Linked DNA regions of Daphnia pulex. The protein of the gene in region 1 interacts with the protein of each later gene in a pairwise test. Links are inferred from orthologs where the notes say so. Each region holds a gene or a part of one and is shown in the gene's direction. Other genes may lie near its edges. The genes, in order: atypical protein kinase C-like and protein numb-like.

Region 1 (7,514 bases):
ACATTTCCCTCCAGGGCTAAATGCGTTGTTCAGCCATGCCGCCAAAAATCGACGGCTAGCGTTCTTCATTTGTCTACGTTGTTGTTGCCTAGGGGGCTAGCGGTGGCGCTGTTCCACCACGGCGCCATCTATCTAGCTGGTGCCAGGCAATAGACTCCGAATTGTCTTTCCCGTGCCGCTCGTGGCAGAACGTAAGTATTGAATTGATATTCTACCTTTTTCCTTAGTCTTATTTCGCATATTGATATCGGTAATTGTAGTTAGTTTAATAGCCAAAGTCTCCGTTACAAATTTGTGTTCACTTTAATCGTGTTGTTGACGTTTGTATTTCTGATAGTTGTGTTTTTTGGGCTTGGTAAACGCTGGTGGTCGAAGTAGGAATGACACATGGCACATGAGGTTACTTTGGGCGCCATGTTGGGATTTTAACCGGCCTTTTCCACATATTATTGTTGCATATTCATTAGCCTACAGTAGTGTTCTCATGTAATTGGATTCCATATCCTTATTCCTTTTTTTCAGTTATATTTCTTTGGGTATTTAGTACTGTTGTCAAATTAAACTTAACGCCGTTGTAATAACTATAGTAGTCAGCTGCTGCGGCAGTGATCAATATAGAAGATAGTACTGAAATCGCTACCCCATTGATGTGAATGTTTCTAATCACTTTCTTTTTGTCACAGTGATTCTATATATCCATTCCCCTGAACTTGTACAACATGGCAGAGCTTGAAGACACTCAGTTCGAGTCAGGGGATTCTGGAGCTTCAGCAACATTTCCCATGCAATGCTCTGCTCTTCGCAAGAACGGTTTCGTCATGTTGAAGGTGATTATATAATAATAGAAATTATTTTAATCTTCATTGTACTTAAAGTGAATTTCATTTGAAGGCAAGGCCTTGCAAGATTGTTGAGATGTCCACATCCAAGACTGGCAAACATGGCCACGCCAAGGTTCACATGGTTGGTATCGACATTTTCAATGGCAAGAAACTTGAAGATATTTGCCCTTCCACCCACAACATGGATGTCCCTGTTGTCAAGAGGGAGGATTTCACTGTAATATAAAATTACAACTTTGATTATGTTAGTTTGGAATTAACAAAATTTTTGTTTTAGCTCATTGACATATCTGGTGATGGCTTTCTTTCAATGATGAATGACAACGGAGATTTGCGTGAAGATCTCAAGGTTCCAGAAGGAGACTTGGGTAACCAAATCAGGGCTGATTTCGAAAATGGTCGCGAACTTCTGGTAAGCTAATTTTACCCTATGCGATGTATTGTTCAATTTGATATTAAGAGTGGATGTATAATCACCTGTTTTTTCTTCTATAGTGTACCGTTTTGAAAGCCTGCGGCGAAGAGTGTGTGATTGCCGTTAAAGCCAACACAGCTGCCGAAAAGTAATTCACACAAATTTGTGAAGTTTCACTTCCAACTGGTTACCAATAAAAATGGAGAGAAACACAAAAAAATAAACGGGAAACAGCTGTGGATATTGGATTTAAATTCTACTTTCTTTCTTTTAATTTTGCCTACTACCGATTGATGTAAATCGTGGGGAGAAATGGGTATCTTGACCTTGTTGCCTCGTTTCATTGGATAAGTCCATCTCTTGTTCTGGTTTATTATTGCCTCCCCCGTTCGACCCAATGGGTCAATAGACAGACTTGTTAATGAACACTACGCTATTCTGCAGTTGATTGCAAGATAGTTGTTTAACCTAAACCTTACTCATACCCATTTCCCATGCAGCAAAACGAAAGAGTTCAATAAACCAATTTCAAGCACTTCAAAAATAATGGAGCCTTAAATTTAACGATTTTTACTTCAAACTTTTATTTTCCAATCACTCAACATGTGAATTGAAGCAAAACGGGCAACAACTTGATTGGGTAATGGATGTTATACTTTACAGGAGGGGAAAAACTTGGTTGAATAAGGGAAATAATAGGAAAATGCAATTTATAATATTATGTATCAGTTAAGGATCGCTTTTTCCTTGTCTTTTCTGCAAAGCATTAGCCAGATCTTCGCTGAAAGCCTGCTTTTGCTTTTGATCGGCCAAAGGCTGAATGGAACGCAGCCCGTTGACAATATCCTTAGTCTTACCGAAGTAAATTTCATTCAAAGTGTGCCTAATTTTGTTCTCCATATCTTCGACAAGACGACCCATGTTTACGATGTGCGACGTAGGCTCGCTTACTGTTCCGTCTTGCTCCATCTAACACGAGAGAAAAAATCGGTTCAATTTAAGGGAAATATCTCATGGTCATAAAAGTAAACAATAATATTACCTGACGCGTTAAGCTTCCACCAAGGTTCATCGTTCCGGAACCGGGACGACTGGTCTGCAGCCATAGCATGACTGTCGACGTAAGCTTATAGTGAGCCGAACGGCCGGTAGACTTTTCTTGCACTTCAATGACATGAATCGAATCCCAGCACCCTTTAATATTTCGAGCGCCATCACCAGCTCGTTTTATAAGAATGACTCCAGCAAATCCATGATCCAGGTCCCATAGGTACACAGAGGAGACTCCACCCTCAAAATACATCTGACGGTATTGATCAAATGCAGCATTGGCCTCTACTTCCAATCTACGTAGCCTGTCCGTGGGCAGTGTTCCATCTTCAAGAGGTGGTTCATAGGTGTTGCTCCATGGAGAACTGACAGATCAACATTTGTTATTATTAGGGTCAAGTTTTCAACACAACTGTAAATACTGTTACCGATAAGAATCTCCATCACGGTTATAATCACAGAGAAGATAATCTTTTCCTTCTCTCTTATCACGTGCAATTTTAAGTGGTTGATCCACTGATGATAGAAGATCCTCACACAGTTCAGGAACTAGGTCAATCAGGTCACTCAGGTTTTTTTCAATTTGCTGAGGAGGGAGACGTCGCATTAAGTCCAACGCTCGGTTCAATTGCTCCTCCGTCTGCAGAAACAAATAACAAGAGAAATATTATTAGACAAGTCAAATGTCAAATAAAATTTTCACTCTGAAATTGGAGGTTTAATACTAGCCGAAAATATGAATAAATTCGATTTTTAACTTACCATTGTTCAAAATGGACAGAAACGACAAACTTTTGAGATAATAAAATGGAACTGAAAAGGATTTCCGGCCTTTTTTCCCAGGAAAAACCAAAAAATGGGCGAGGTGAAAAATGAGTGGCGGTGACAAACAGAAATGTATGTTCTGAATCCGAAGTTGCGCTAAGCAATGAAAATCTCTGCCTGCTGGGAAATAAAAAAACGGTTGCGGATTCGAATTAGAATTCGAGATAAATCCACATATTAAATGACGGAAGTGTTGTTGGTCATTAAATAATAGCTGAGAATATTTAAAAAACAATTACAAAAACGATTTTTCTTTAAAATCAATCAAGTTTTGATCAATCTCGGAGAACGCCTCCTGGCGGCTGCATAGAAGGTTAATCCTCGAAACGTCAGTTTTGCCAGTATTAACCGCCTGACTCATATTTTTAGGTTAAAACTAAAAGTGTTTTCTGTTAGAAGTTTAAAGAAGTTATAGTGGAATCGTGGTTCACAATCAGTGATAGCCTCAAATGGTTACAATAGTCCGGCTGCCGTGAGGACTTGTTTGTAATTTTGAGGAAACGGCCAATTTGTGCCCAACCCACCTGTTGTTTTAAATGACGATGCCCACCACCCTCGTGAGTGATGGGGAAAAGGCCGAAATCAAAGTCAAGGCAGCTTTCAGCGGGTATACTTCATGTTTTTTTTTTCAATCTTTGTATGTACTTACCTCATTAGTTATTTTGCAGGAAAATTCTCGTGACTTACATAAACTCTGAGATCCTGTTGGATGATCTCCAAAATGAGATGCGAGCCATTTGCCAGTTTTCTCCTGATCAAGAGTTTACCATGAAATGGATTGACGAAGAAGGTTGTACAACACATACAATCCACACAGTTTTCTTTTACTATGATTTACATCCCTTTAGGTGATCCATGTACTATCTCTTCACAAGTTGAAATTGATGAAGCTATTCGTCTGTATGAAGTGAACAACGATTCAGAAATCACTATTCATGGTATTTTTTAATTCTACTTGTGTATAAACTTGAAATTTAATTACTCTTTTTAAAATTCAGTTTTCCCTAGTGTCCCTGTGTCACCAGGGCTTCCATGTTTTGGAGAAGATAAAAGTATTTATCGACGTGGTGCTCGTAGATGGCGGAAACTGTACAGAGTCAATGGACATCTTTTCCAGGCAAAACGTTTCAATCGCGTAAGTTTATCCATGCAACACCATTGATTCCCAGTAATCCTTACTTTCCATTTTTATGACAGAGAGCTTCTTGCGCTTACTGTCACGACCGTATCTGGGGTCTAGGTCGGCAAGGATTCAAATGCATTCAGTGCAAGCTGCTCATCCACAAAAAGTGCCACAAGCTTATCAAGATCAGTTGCAACACGGAGCAAGTGGCCGCTCTGAACACTCCATCCCAGGTTCATCTACTGTCAAATAGCGCGCTCAATACCAGTTCAGGGTCCGCAGTGACCGCTGCTGCTATTCCATCTATAAGCCCTGTTGTTAATGCCGGAGAACCCCCGACAGCGCTGCGACAGAATGGTGATGGTACCGAAGCACCGTCCGCACCGCCAATAGTACAACCTATTTTTGAGTCTCACAGTGTGAGTGTTCCGGTTGATGGAAGTCCAGGTACTTTATATTTCCATACAAAACAATTCAGATTTTTAATTGTATACTTTAAAATATTAGAAGAAGGTGTCGAAGGTGGTGCTGTTCAACGTCCGTATTCGATGGCGGATTTTGAATTGATTCGTGTGATTGGTCGTGGTTCTTATGCTAAAGTGTTGATGGTTGAATTACGACGAACTCGTCGGGTTTACGCCATGAAAGTAATCAAAAAGGAACTTGTTACCGATGATGAGGTATAAGAAAATTGATTCTTTGATTTTATCAACAACTTCTTCTAATTGAACAACTCGACTTTCAGGATATTGACTGGGTTCAAACGGAAAAACATGTCTTTGAGACGGCATCCAACCATCCTTTCTTGGTTGGCTTGCATTCGTGTTTCCAGACGACGTCACGCCTTTTCTTTGTCATCGAATTCGTACGTGGTGGTGATTTAATGTTCCACATGCAGCGCCAAAGGCGACTTCCTGAGGAGCACGCTCGATTCTATTCGGCTGAAATTTCTTTGGCGCTCAATTTCCTACACGAGAAAGGAATTATTTACCGTGATCTGAAGCTAGATAACGTCCTACTGGACCATGAAGGTCATATCAAACTCACCGACTACGGAATGTGCAAAGAGGGCATCCGTCCGGGTGATACCACGTCTACCTTTTGTGGTACGCCCAACTATATCGCTCCTGAAATTCTGCGCGGAGAAGACTACAGTTTCAGGTAATGTTTACAAATTAAACCCAATAGAATCTGGAACGCTAACTCCCCTGTAGCGAAAATGTCTAACCTTTTTCTTCGTTTTTATCAGTGTGGATTGGTGGGCGCTGGGTGTATTGTTGTATGAAATGTTGGCCGGTCGTTCACCTTTCGACATCGTCGGCGCTTCAGAGAATCCTGACCAAAACACTGAAGATTATCTGTTTCACGGTAGAGCTTCATCTTGTCTTCTTTATTATAATATTTGCTTTGTGGAAACTCGCGAGTCCATTTGATAAAGTTCGCAAGAAAAACGGGGTCTTATCAAGATCGCGTGACCTTTTTCCACTTGAGAGGATTGTAAATGTGTTGTTTGTAAAACATTGTGTGTTTTTTCTTTTCTTTTCATATTGCAGTCATCCTGGAAAAGACGATTCGCATTCCCAGGTCGTTATCTGTGAAGGCTTCTTCTGTCCTCAAAGGGTTTCTTAATAAGAATCCAGCTGATCGTTTGGGTTGTCGAAAAGAAACGGGCTTTGTCGATATCGTCCATCATCCATTCTTTAAATCAGTCGACTGGGAAATGGTATGAACATCTCTCTCTTTTACACGTTTAATCCACATTCTAGGAACAGATTACTAATCTTTTTTCATACGTGCACAGTTGGAGAAGAAACAAGTGGCTCCACCTTACGTGCCTCGTCTAGATTCCGACCGTGATCTGGCTCACTTTCCACCCGAGTTCACAGACGAACCAGTCCAACTGACACCCGACGATCAGTAAGTGATGGATCGTCTGTCGATTAAGAATCGATTTTTATTTTTGTTTTATTTTTTGTTGCTTTGCAGGACGGTCATTGAACGCATCGATCAGTCTGAGTTTGAAGGTTTCGAGTACGTCAATCCTTTGCTCATGTCATTGGAAGACTGCGTCTAGGATTAGAATAGAAAACGAAGCATTCGCTTTCATGCCATTATAAGATTTACACTAAAAATTGGAACCACACACACACATGTTTCATAGGGAAAGTTTGGCAGGTTTCACGGCAGCAAAAATTCTAACAGCCTACCATTTCTTCTCTTTCGTTTTTTTCCCCCTCCCCTTTTCACCATCAGTTTATTCGGTCCAGTATTTTTAAATATGATAGATCAAGTCTTAATCGACTTTGCGTCCATTCCAGTTCTTGCCTCATTGGAACATCTTTCTTTCCCTCCGTCACCTTTTCGATCTGTTGTACAACTGCCTTCATCTCTTTTGTCTTCTTTTCTTTTTGTGTCACTTTTAAAAGCCATTTTGTTTTGGTCACTTTTAGCCAAAAAGAAAATCTCTGTCTGGTTAATTATTATATTTCCGCCTTACACAGATCGCCTTTTTCCGTCTTGTTAGAAATATACAAGAAAGATGTCGACACAATCAGCTAGATGGCATCCACAGTCAAGAAATGGTGGTGGCCTTTTAATATTATAATTGGTGAAACCTGTTGTTGTTCGATGGGAAAGGCATTTCTACGGTACGACGTGCCGTTAGCACAATCGTTGGTTGTCTTTATGCTAAACGATGTAATGCAGAGGAAAAAGGGGTTTATTACTAAATATCGATGAGAGAAAAGTAGTTTTTATCACGCACGAAACCACTCGTTTATTGGTTGAAATTTTTCGAACGAAGAAAGGAAAGAAAAAAAAAGCGTGTAGGAGGAAGTCGTTGTCGGACATTTCTTTTCTAGAAAGAAACGAACATCGACCGTTTTGCGGTTGGATTCCCCTATACATTTAAAGAGATACACACACACAAACTCGTCTTGTGTGTGTGTGTAAAGGAATAAAGAAAACCCCAGAAAACATTTTACGCTCTCTATTTTTATTCTTTCGGGGCCGCGGAAAATGTCCCTCACCCTATGGTGTTTTCTTATCCTTTTTTTCCCATTGCGCATTCTTTTAATTTCGATGAAAAAGGTTCTTTTATGGAAATATTTATAAAAGAATCAGCCCCTCTCTCTCCCCCCCTTAATAAAAACAAAATCAGGTTTATATCCTTGTTTTGTTTAAGAAGGATATCTTTTAGATTAGACAAATTTTCGTAATCAAGATTTCACACACACAATCAAGTTTTAGTCGAGTTTCG
Region 2 (7,518 bases), on another chromosome or scaffold:
ATTAACATTAACTACTGTAACACAAAACGGTGTCAAATTAAGAATAGATTCTTACTTGTTTGAACTAGGACCAACAGGCATTCCGAGAGCAGTTCGCAGTTCGTCAGACAACTCTCCGGGTTTTTTGTCTTTCATTCGAGTTTCAAATTCTTTTCCTTCATAGTATAAATCACCCATAATCGTCATCTTGGGTTTGGTTTGCCATTTGAAGAAAGCGTCATGCAACTTTTGATAGTCGATATCAACACGCCCCATCTTGGGTCGAACACGCTCACGCATTTTAGCTTTAAGTGTTTTTGACTCTTCCTTTTCCTGCAAAGCAGCTCGCATTTCCATGATTCCGGTCTTTTTGATGAAATCGGGCAAATTGAAAGGAGGCTTTTCTATTCCACGTTTTCCCTAAAGTACAAAAAAATTTGTTTAAAACGAATTGTTTACCCTTTGTGCATAGTAAAATATACCTGTAAGTACTTGCGCTTCGCACACCAATGTCGAGGAACTGGGACCGAATTTCTGGTTGCTTTCAAAAGAACTAACAGTTTGGGGTCTCTAGCAGTAACGTCGTGCATCTCTACGACGTCTGGTCTGGCAACACATTGCTTCAAATCGGCCACACTTAGTCGAGTAAGTTGTTTTAGTTTTCTTTTTGAAACTTTTGGCTTGTCATCATCAGCATTTTCCTTTTTCTCCTCCAAATCTTCCTCTTCTGCAAACTTGGGGACCTTCTTAAGTTCTAAACTTCTTTGAAGTTCTTTCTTTTTGGCTTCATCTTCTTCAGCTTTCTTTGCAGTTTTTTCATCAATGATTTTAAATGCTTCGAAGATTTTGGCAAACTGTCGGTAGAAAGGATTTTTGTCGTCATAAATGATTTCTTCCTGGACATACTCAATATCCACTTGTGGAGGTTCTTCAGCATCATCATTCCTTTCATTTTCTTCTTCTTCTTCTTTCTGTTGATGTCTCTTAGTGCGCTTCTTCTTCTTTTTCTTCTTTTGATTTCTTTGAGTTTTAGTTTTTTCTTCAAGGTTTTCTTCCCCACCGAAATCATCTTTCCTCTCTTCAATAGTTCCTTCAGTTTCTATAACTGTTTTGACAGGGATTTCATTAACTAAAAAAAAAATAGAAAAGAATAAAGTTCATTCCTGCAAGCGAAACCTTTCATGAAGACTAGAAAATTTATAAAAGTGTTACTCACTAATGTTATCAACCTCTCCAGAGTGGCCCGTTTCTCGTACTCGGTATTCTTTGTAAGCAAGGACTTCTTCAAGTGCTGATGGGAGATGTTCATGGGCGGGAATGTCTTCATCACCTGGAGGAGGTGACATCGGTCTAGCACCTGATCCATACATACCGACAGCATTACCCTGGAAGGACCTTGAAGGATCTCCATACATGTAATTCTCCTGGCCGTAGCCGGGCGGCATGTGATGATCCATGTCAAATTCAACTAAATAACTTTCTGTTTCTAAAGAATAATCACACAATCAAAAGGGTGTTTCAAATCAATAGACAAAATAGACGCGTCCAAGTAAAACACGATGAAGTTTTACGTTAATTTAAAACTGCCTTGAAAGAAACACGATAGCAAAACAAGTTTGTTAGAGAACCAAACGGGTGAAGCGAGTAAACGACGACCAAATGAAGCCGAATCTAAAAGCCATGATCAAATCGTATATTCATTGAGGTACCACAGAAAACCAGCAGATGGCGTTCACGACGCGCCCTAAATTTTTAATAAAGGCTTGTGCACACTATCAACACCAGATGGCAGTCTGATGAATCTTAAATGATTTTTTTTTGTGGTGGCACACTGAGAGAGATGCAGTTGCAGTCAAAACGGTTTCTTAAACCGAAGTGCTCTGAGAGTATTGCTAAAGCGGTGGGAGTGGTGTGATTAGTTAGTTTGTGAACGTATTGTTTTCATTGAGATCGTCCAGTTCATCGCGAGGCCGGTAAGTTTGGCCGATTCTGTTTTGGTGTGTGTTGACAGGCTTTTCGTCGGGGCTTGTTTTCAGTTTCTCATTCAAGGCAGTCTTGGTTGGTTTTCTCTCTGCCCAGAGGTCTACAGCATCAAGTGAAACCGACGGCATTTGTTCTCTCCCCTTTACGTTTGTACATACCTTTTGTAGATTGTTTTTTCCAGCCTATTTGATATTATCGTTTTTCGATGGGAAAATTCTCATCGACAATCACATTTTCGTAAAATCTGATGAGAAACGTTGCGTGTGGCCATTTCACCCCTCTTGAGATTTTTTGGTGTCGGTGAACCGATCAAACGTTGGTAGAAGCTAAAAGAGAAATCAGTTTCATTATCAACAACCCTGATGTGAGATGTGCCTGTGAGCCGGATCGATAAGAGACTTTCATCACACAGGCCGTGTAGCAACTTCACTAGGTCTCTCTCAGACTCTCACGCCATTACGTATACACGTTGACATTCTTTCCACGAAGCCATTACCGTTTCTTTTTCTCTCCTTGTCTCTCATATACGTTTACGGTTTTATTTTTTCTTTTTTTTGACGATGAGTGAAAGAGTCGGCCTTTTTCGCCATAGGGCATTGTTGATCCAGGGTCAGTGCAACCGCAAGGCCAAGAAACTAACCAATTTGGTTGCTTTTCCCACTTTGAAGATTGTGTGTGTGTGTGCTGCAGCTAGTAGTAGTATATTTATTATCAGTAGATTATTAAGCAACCCTTGTCCTCTAACCGTCTGCTGACATGCTTATCGATATATCATTTGCAGACGAGGTAACTTCATTTATTGATTCGACCCTTGGCTGGCTTTGAACAAAGGTAAATCATGAACGTAATCTACCTTGCCCTGCATTGATATCGTGTTGGTTTCTATGACATGAAAGAGAAAGTGATGGCCACATCACGTTGATGTTTGCCGGACGTATCACAGGACTAACTGATAAAAGCAAAGTGTCCTTCAACGACGTAGGGCTCTCTCATGTGGTTCGTTCACCTCCTCTGTTGCGGGTCCATTCATATTCATGTATGCAATAACCCCCGTACGAGATGTGATCCGTCACCATAGATGCCATCATCGGGAAAAAACAATTTCGATGAAGCCCATCTCTTGTTATTATTATTTTCGATGCTAACCCCGAGACTGTAGGAATCGGCTGCTACCTTTTTTGTCTAGCTGGAAAGAAGAGAGAAATAAGTCAGTAAAAAGGTAGAAGAAAAGACAGAAAAGAAGGAGGGAGTTCAAAGATGGCCTCGAGCTGAACAAGCATGAAGGCCAAAGCCTCATGTTACATACCTATGGCAACACGAAGGGAGCCAACCACGGTCGCATGCGTCTATATACCTGGTCGGGACTACATTCCACTCTTTGGCAGTAGTTTGCTTGGGTTTCTCACGTCACGGGCGCCATTTTGATGGTCCGCCTTGCTGGGGAACGTTCGCTTGTTGTTATAGTCTGCTCCTCCAGCAGCTTCGCGGTCGTTCTCATCGATTTCCCTCCCGACGTGATTCAACTGGACAGACGTTTTGCGTCCGTTTTACGCCATTTCGTTTCTGTGTTTTACGGCCGAGTGTGATCTTTTTTAAGAGTGAACTAGATTGTGACTACTGTGTGTGACGTGTGTTTGCACGTGCGGAATCGTTTGTGCAACCCAAAGAAATAAGACGGAAATATTTGCTCGTCTTTCTGTTTTACCGGAATGGCAACTGGGCGGATATCTCTTATTTTCTGACTTTACGGGTCGCCGGTGCCGGCGTAATGGAAACCGGCCGTGTGACGACGCACGAATTTAATTCGCACGGATCTTGATGCACATCTAGTTTTTCGTTCATCTACAAAATATCCAACAAAAAACTCTTTTACATTTTATTTTGCACACATTGCACCACCAAATCTTAATTTAAAAAAAAACCAAAACATGGGCAACGCCCATTCTGCTCTTCCGCACGATCCGCTCGAATCGGCCGTAACCCATCCGATCGCTCCGGTGGCCAATGAAATCGACAAGGTGATCGGGTCTCTTATATTTTAATTCCTGCTTAACATTTGACCGTGGCCAACTCGATTTGGTCGAATCAAGGAAACTTTCTAAGAATGTATCGGGTAATTTTAGTTGAGGAAGCAAAAGGTTAAAAAAGATTGGAATGTGGGCTAGGTTGGGTCTCGGAGCGTGTAACACGTTGCGTCTTACCTGGGGCGTAGCGATGACCTGTTGCCCTCTGGCGTTAGCTGACGTGTGAAGCGACGTCACGCCCCCCTTTCCTCTGAGGCTCCAGCTCCTCCTCTTTGATCTTGCCATGTTTTTCTTTTTCACGTGTGTGTGTGTGTCTGTCGTTTCCCGAACGGAGATGCCCTATTCTTTTATTATCTCACAAGTTGCTGTTTATTCTTTGGGTAATAATCAAGATTCGGTCGAAAGAATATCTCTCTTGGCAATGGCGCGCCGTCTCGACGTGCCCGCGCTTGAGAAACAATCGATAATATTCGGGGCGTGTGGGTTCTCGTTTCTTTCGTTAATTTTTTATTATTCCACCGAGGTACCGTACTCTTCAGGGCATGATTCATTGCGTGCGTTTGCGAAAGCGTAACGGGATAGTTGCGCTAACTGAACGAATTTGCCGTTATGTTGCAACGTTAATTTCTCCATGAAACGGCTGGAATGGCCGGAATTCGGGTTGGACCCGACACCATTGCAGATCGCGGCGTCTCTAATATTTTGCTTCGGTTTTTCTTATTGCAGGCTGAGAAGAGCGAGACCAAGGAGAGCGGACGCCATAAGAGGATGGAGCGATTGCGGAGAAGCTTCCGCGAAAGTTTCCGTCGCCGCAAAGACCACGTCCCCGAGAGTTCAAAACCGCACCAATGGCAGTCGGACGAGGCTGCCGTTCGAGCTGGAACTTGCAATTTTTACGTCAAGGTTCGTGAGCACGTTATATACATTGTGCAGGACGTATATTTTTGTTGTTGACGTTTGGCAGGAATCCACGTGGTTCTATTTATTTGCGATTCGCTCACCTTTTTGAATTTTTATTTTTTCCAGTATCTGGGATGCGTGGAAGTGTACGAGTCACGTGGTATGCCTGTTTGCGAGGAAGCACTCAAAGTGCTCAGGGTAAAATATTCATTTCCATTGAAACGATGATGACAAAATATTCCACATTTATTTATTTATTCATTCCCAAAACAGAATTCTAGACGTCGACCAGTAAAAGGCGTTCTGCACATTTCCGGCGATGGATTACGAGTTGTCGAAGAAGACACCAAAGTATGAAATTTCCGTTGATTTCGTCACCGACATCTTAGACTCACTTTTCTCTCTATTGCATCGTGAATCACAGGGATTGATTGTCGACCAGACGATTGAGAAAGTCTCCTTTTGTGCTCCGGATCGTAATCACGAAAAAGGATTCTCGTACATCTGTCGTGATGGTACTACGCGTCGTTGGATGTGCCACGGATTCTTGGCCAGCAAAGACTCGGTGAGGATCGTAAATGAATTGCTGTCAATCCAACAGAGAGAGAGAGAGACAAGCTTGATTACCCCAATAATGAAAGTGGCCATCGTCAATGATAATGGATTGACGGTTTCCGGTCTTATTTCCTCCTTTGACTTACGCTGGTTATTAATACTATTGTTGATGCCCTGGTTTTTTTCTTTTTTCAGGGAGAGCGGTTGAGTCATGCAGTGGGTTGCGCTTTTGCCGTTTGCTTGGAACGGAAACAAAAACGAGATAAGGAGTGCAGCGTGACGATGAATTTCGACACCTCCAACTCTACATTCACGCGCTCGGGCAGTTTTAGAGCAGCGCCCTTGACGGAACGCATTCAAGATCCGCAGGAATACAGACCGGCCGGTAATACCTCACATCTATTTCTTGAGCCCAAAAGTGACTCATGCATCTCACGTGTTGATTGCTCATTGTGGGAAATTCTAGAACCACCGGCGCCGGCCAAGGCAGTGGTCAATCCGTTCGCCATTGAACGTCCCCACGCTGCTCCGCACCTGCTCGAGCGACAAGGCTCATTTCGTGGGCTCTCCCAGCTCAATCAGAGTTCACCTTTCAAACGTCAGATGTCGCTTCGAATCGGAGATTTACCCTCGACCGTCGAACGCCAACAAAACTCGTTGAGCAATGAAGCACCCAGCTACAAGTCCAACCTGATCGTCACGCCTGGTAAACATTTCTTCGTTATTTTTCGTCTGGCTCATTCGTCTCCCCATTGCGGCTTTTTACCGTCCTTGTTCCAGTACCGTAGACGATCCTTTTTTTGTTTGTTCGTGGGTGTTGATGGTGTTTTTTTTCTTCTCTATTGCAATGTGTCTGATGCATGCTTCGATCCCATTCGTCCACCGTACAGAAAGTCCTCAGCCTCCTCCTCGAGTCAGTCGTCACCGTATGCAGCCATCTCCTAGCCAAGACTCATCTAGTGAGTGAATGCATTACTTTTTTGTTTTGTTGCTTTTCCATTTCCCGCTTGGAAATTTTGATTGGACCACCAATTTGAGTGACATGTCAAAGACTTTTCAGTTAACCGATCAGAGACAATTTTTAATTAATTGTTTTCATGGATTTGCTATTAAAGTGACTCCGATTCCGGAAACTTCGCCTATGGTAGAACGTTCCAACGCAGTTAGCGCCATGTGTCAGCAGCTATCCCAAGGATTGTCACTCTTATCGTCTACTGATGATCCCTTCCTGGTGGACAACAAAGTCAACGTAAAGTTTTATTTTTCATTTGTTTTTAGATTAATGTTAATAGAGGCTAATTTGGACTTTATATTTTTCAAATAGATGGTCCCACCCACTAACGGATTCCAGGTGAACAATAAGGAAGCGTCGGTGAACAATCCAATGTCACGAGGGGAACAGTGGCTGGGCAGTTTAACGGCCAGCGTGGCGTCCCAAGGACCGAGCTCGCTGCCGCCACGTCGCCCGCCTGCCTTGATGGCTCATTCACGATCCCAATCACTAGGATCGCCCCCAGAAGCTCCTTCCATTGCTCCGGCCAGTCATTCTTTGGCCACTCCGCCACCACACTTGCCGGCGATACCACCGCGCAGTCCTTTCCACACGGCTCTTCATTCCTCTTCTTCTTCGCCCACCAGTACGCCGGCACATCATTCCCCGTCAATCACCAATCGAACAAACGCACTAATATCGGATCCGTTCGACGCCGAATGGGCCGCTTTAGCCACGCGCAGTCCCAGCAACACAAATCCTTTTCTTCAGAATTCTGTCGTCAAGACCTTTGAAGTTCGTATGTAGAGACGATGGCACACTTCTTTTCAGTAATTCTTCCTTCCCCCGTTACCCTGAGACAACTAACCCATCAGTGGTTTTACCTTTTTTTTTTAAATGCCAGACTGATTTGATGTATTATATATACCTCTCCCATACCAACCCTTAAAAATTCCTTCTTTCTTTAATTTTTCTTTCAAGAAAACACAGACATTCCTATACTTCGTGTGCCGGAACGCTCTTAATTTTGCCATCATCATTTTTTGTGCTTTGTTTTTCCTCTTAGATATCATTTGATTTGATCCC

The links.
Region 2: the proteins of atypical protein kinase C-like (region 1) and protein numb-like interact in binary tests that used the Caenorhabditis elegans proteins (3 or more experiments, as listed by UniProt). The link is inferred for Daphnia pulex from reciprocal best matches to the Caenorhabditis elegans genes pkc-3 and num-1.

Annotation. Positions count from the first base shown.
Region 1 is NC_060022.1:4,024,563-4,032,076, forward strand, and holds atypical protein kinase C-like, read left to right. Parts: upstream 1-3,420; 5' UTR 3,421-3,668; coding exon 3,669-3,739; intron 3,740-3,800; coding exon 3,801-3,922; intron 3,923-3,980; coding exon 3,981-4,070; intron 4,071-4,130; coding exon 4,131-4,267; intron 4,268-4,329; coding exon 4,330-4,702; intron 4,703-4,762; coding exon 4,763-4,935; intron 4,936-5,000; coding exon 5,001-5,416; intron 5,417-5,504; coding exon 5,505-5,623; intron 5,624-5,808; coding exon 5,809-5,978; intron 5,979-6,056; coding exon 6,057-6,172; intron 6,173-6,241; coding exon 6,242-6,329; 3' UTR 6,330-6,806; downstream 6,807-7,514. Other genes in the region: eukaryotic translation initiation factor 5A, read left to right, coding at 720-827, 892-1,059, 1,120-1,254, 1,338-1,409; F-actin-capping protein subunit beta-like, read right to left, coding at 1,987-2,226, 2,300-2,672, 2,736-2,947, 3,070-3,072.
Region 2 is NC_060020.1:5,120,476-5,127,993, reverse strand, and holds the start of protein numb-like, read left to right. Parts: upstream 1-2,857; 5' UTR 2,858-3,890; coding exon 3,891-3,980; intron 3,981-4,712; coding exon 4,713-4,889; intron 4,890-5,012; coding exon 5,013-5,084; intron 5,085-5,159; coding exon 5,160-5,237; intron 5,238-5,310; coding exon 5,311-5,451; intron 5,452-5,636; coding exon 5,637-5,826; intron 5,827-5,907; coding exon 5,908-6,147; intron 6,148-6,331; coding exon 6,332-6,400; intron 6,401-6,556; coding exon 6,557-6,690; intron 6,691-6,765; coding exon 6,766-7,239; 3' UTR 7,240-7,518. Other genes in the region: splicing factor 3B subunit 2-like, read right to left, coding at 56-399, 462-1,108, 1,196-1,436. UniProt on the Caenorhabditis elegans protein: Involved in the tethering and targeting of pkc-3 to modulate the intracellular distribution of the kinase.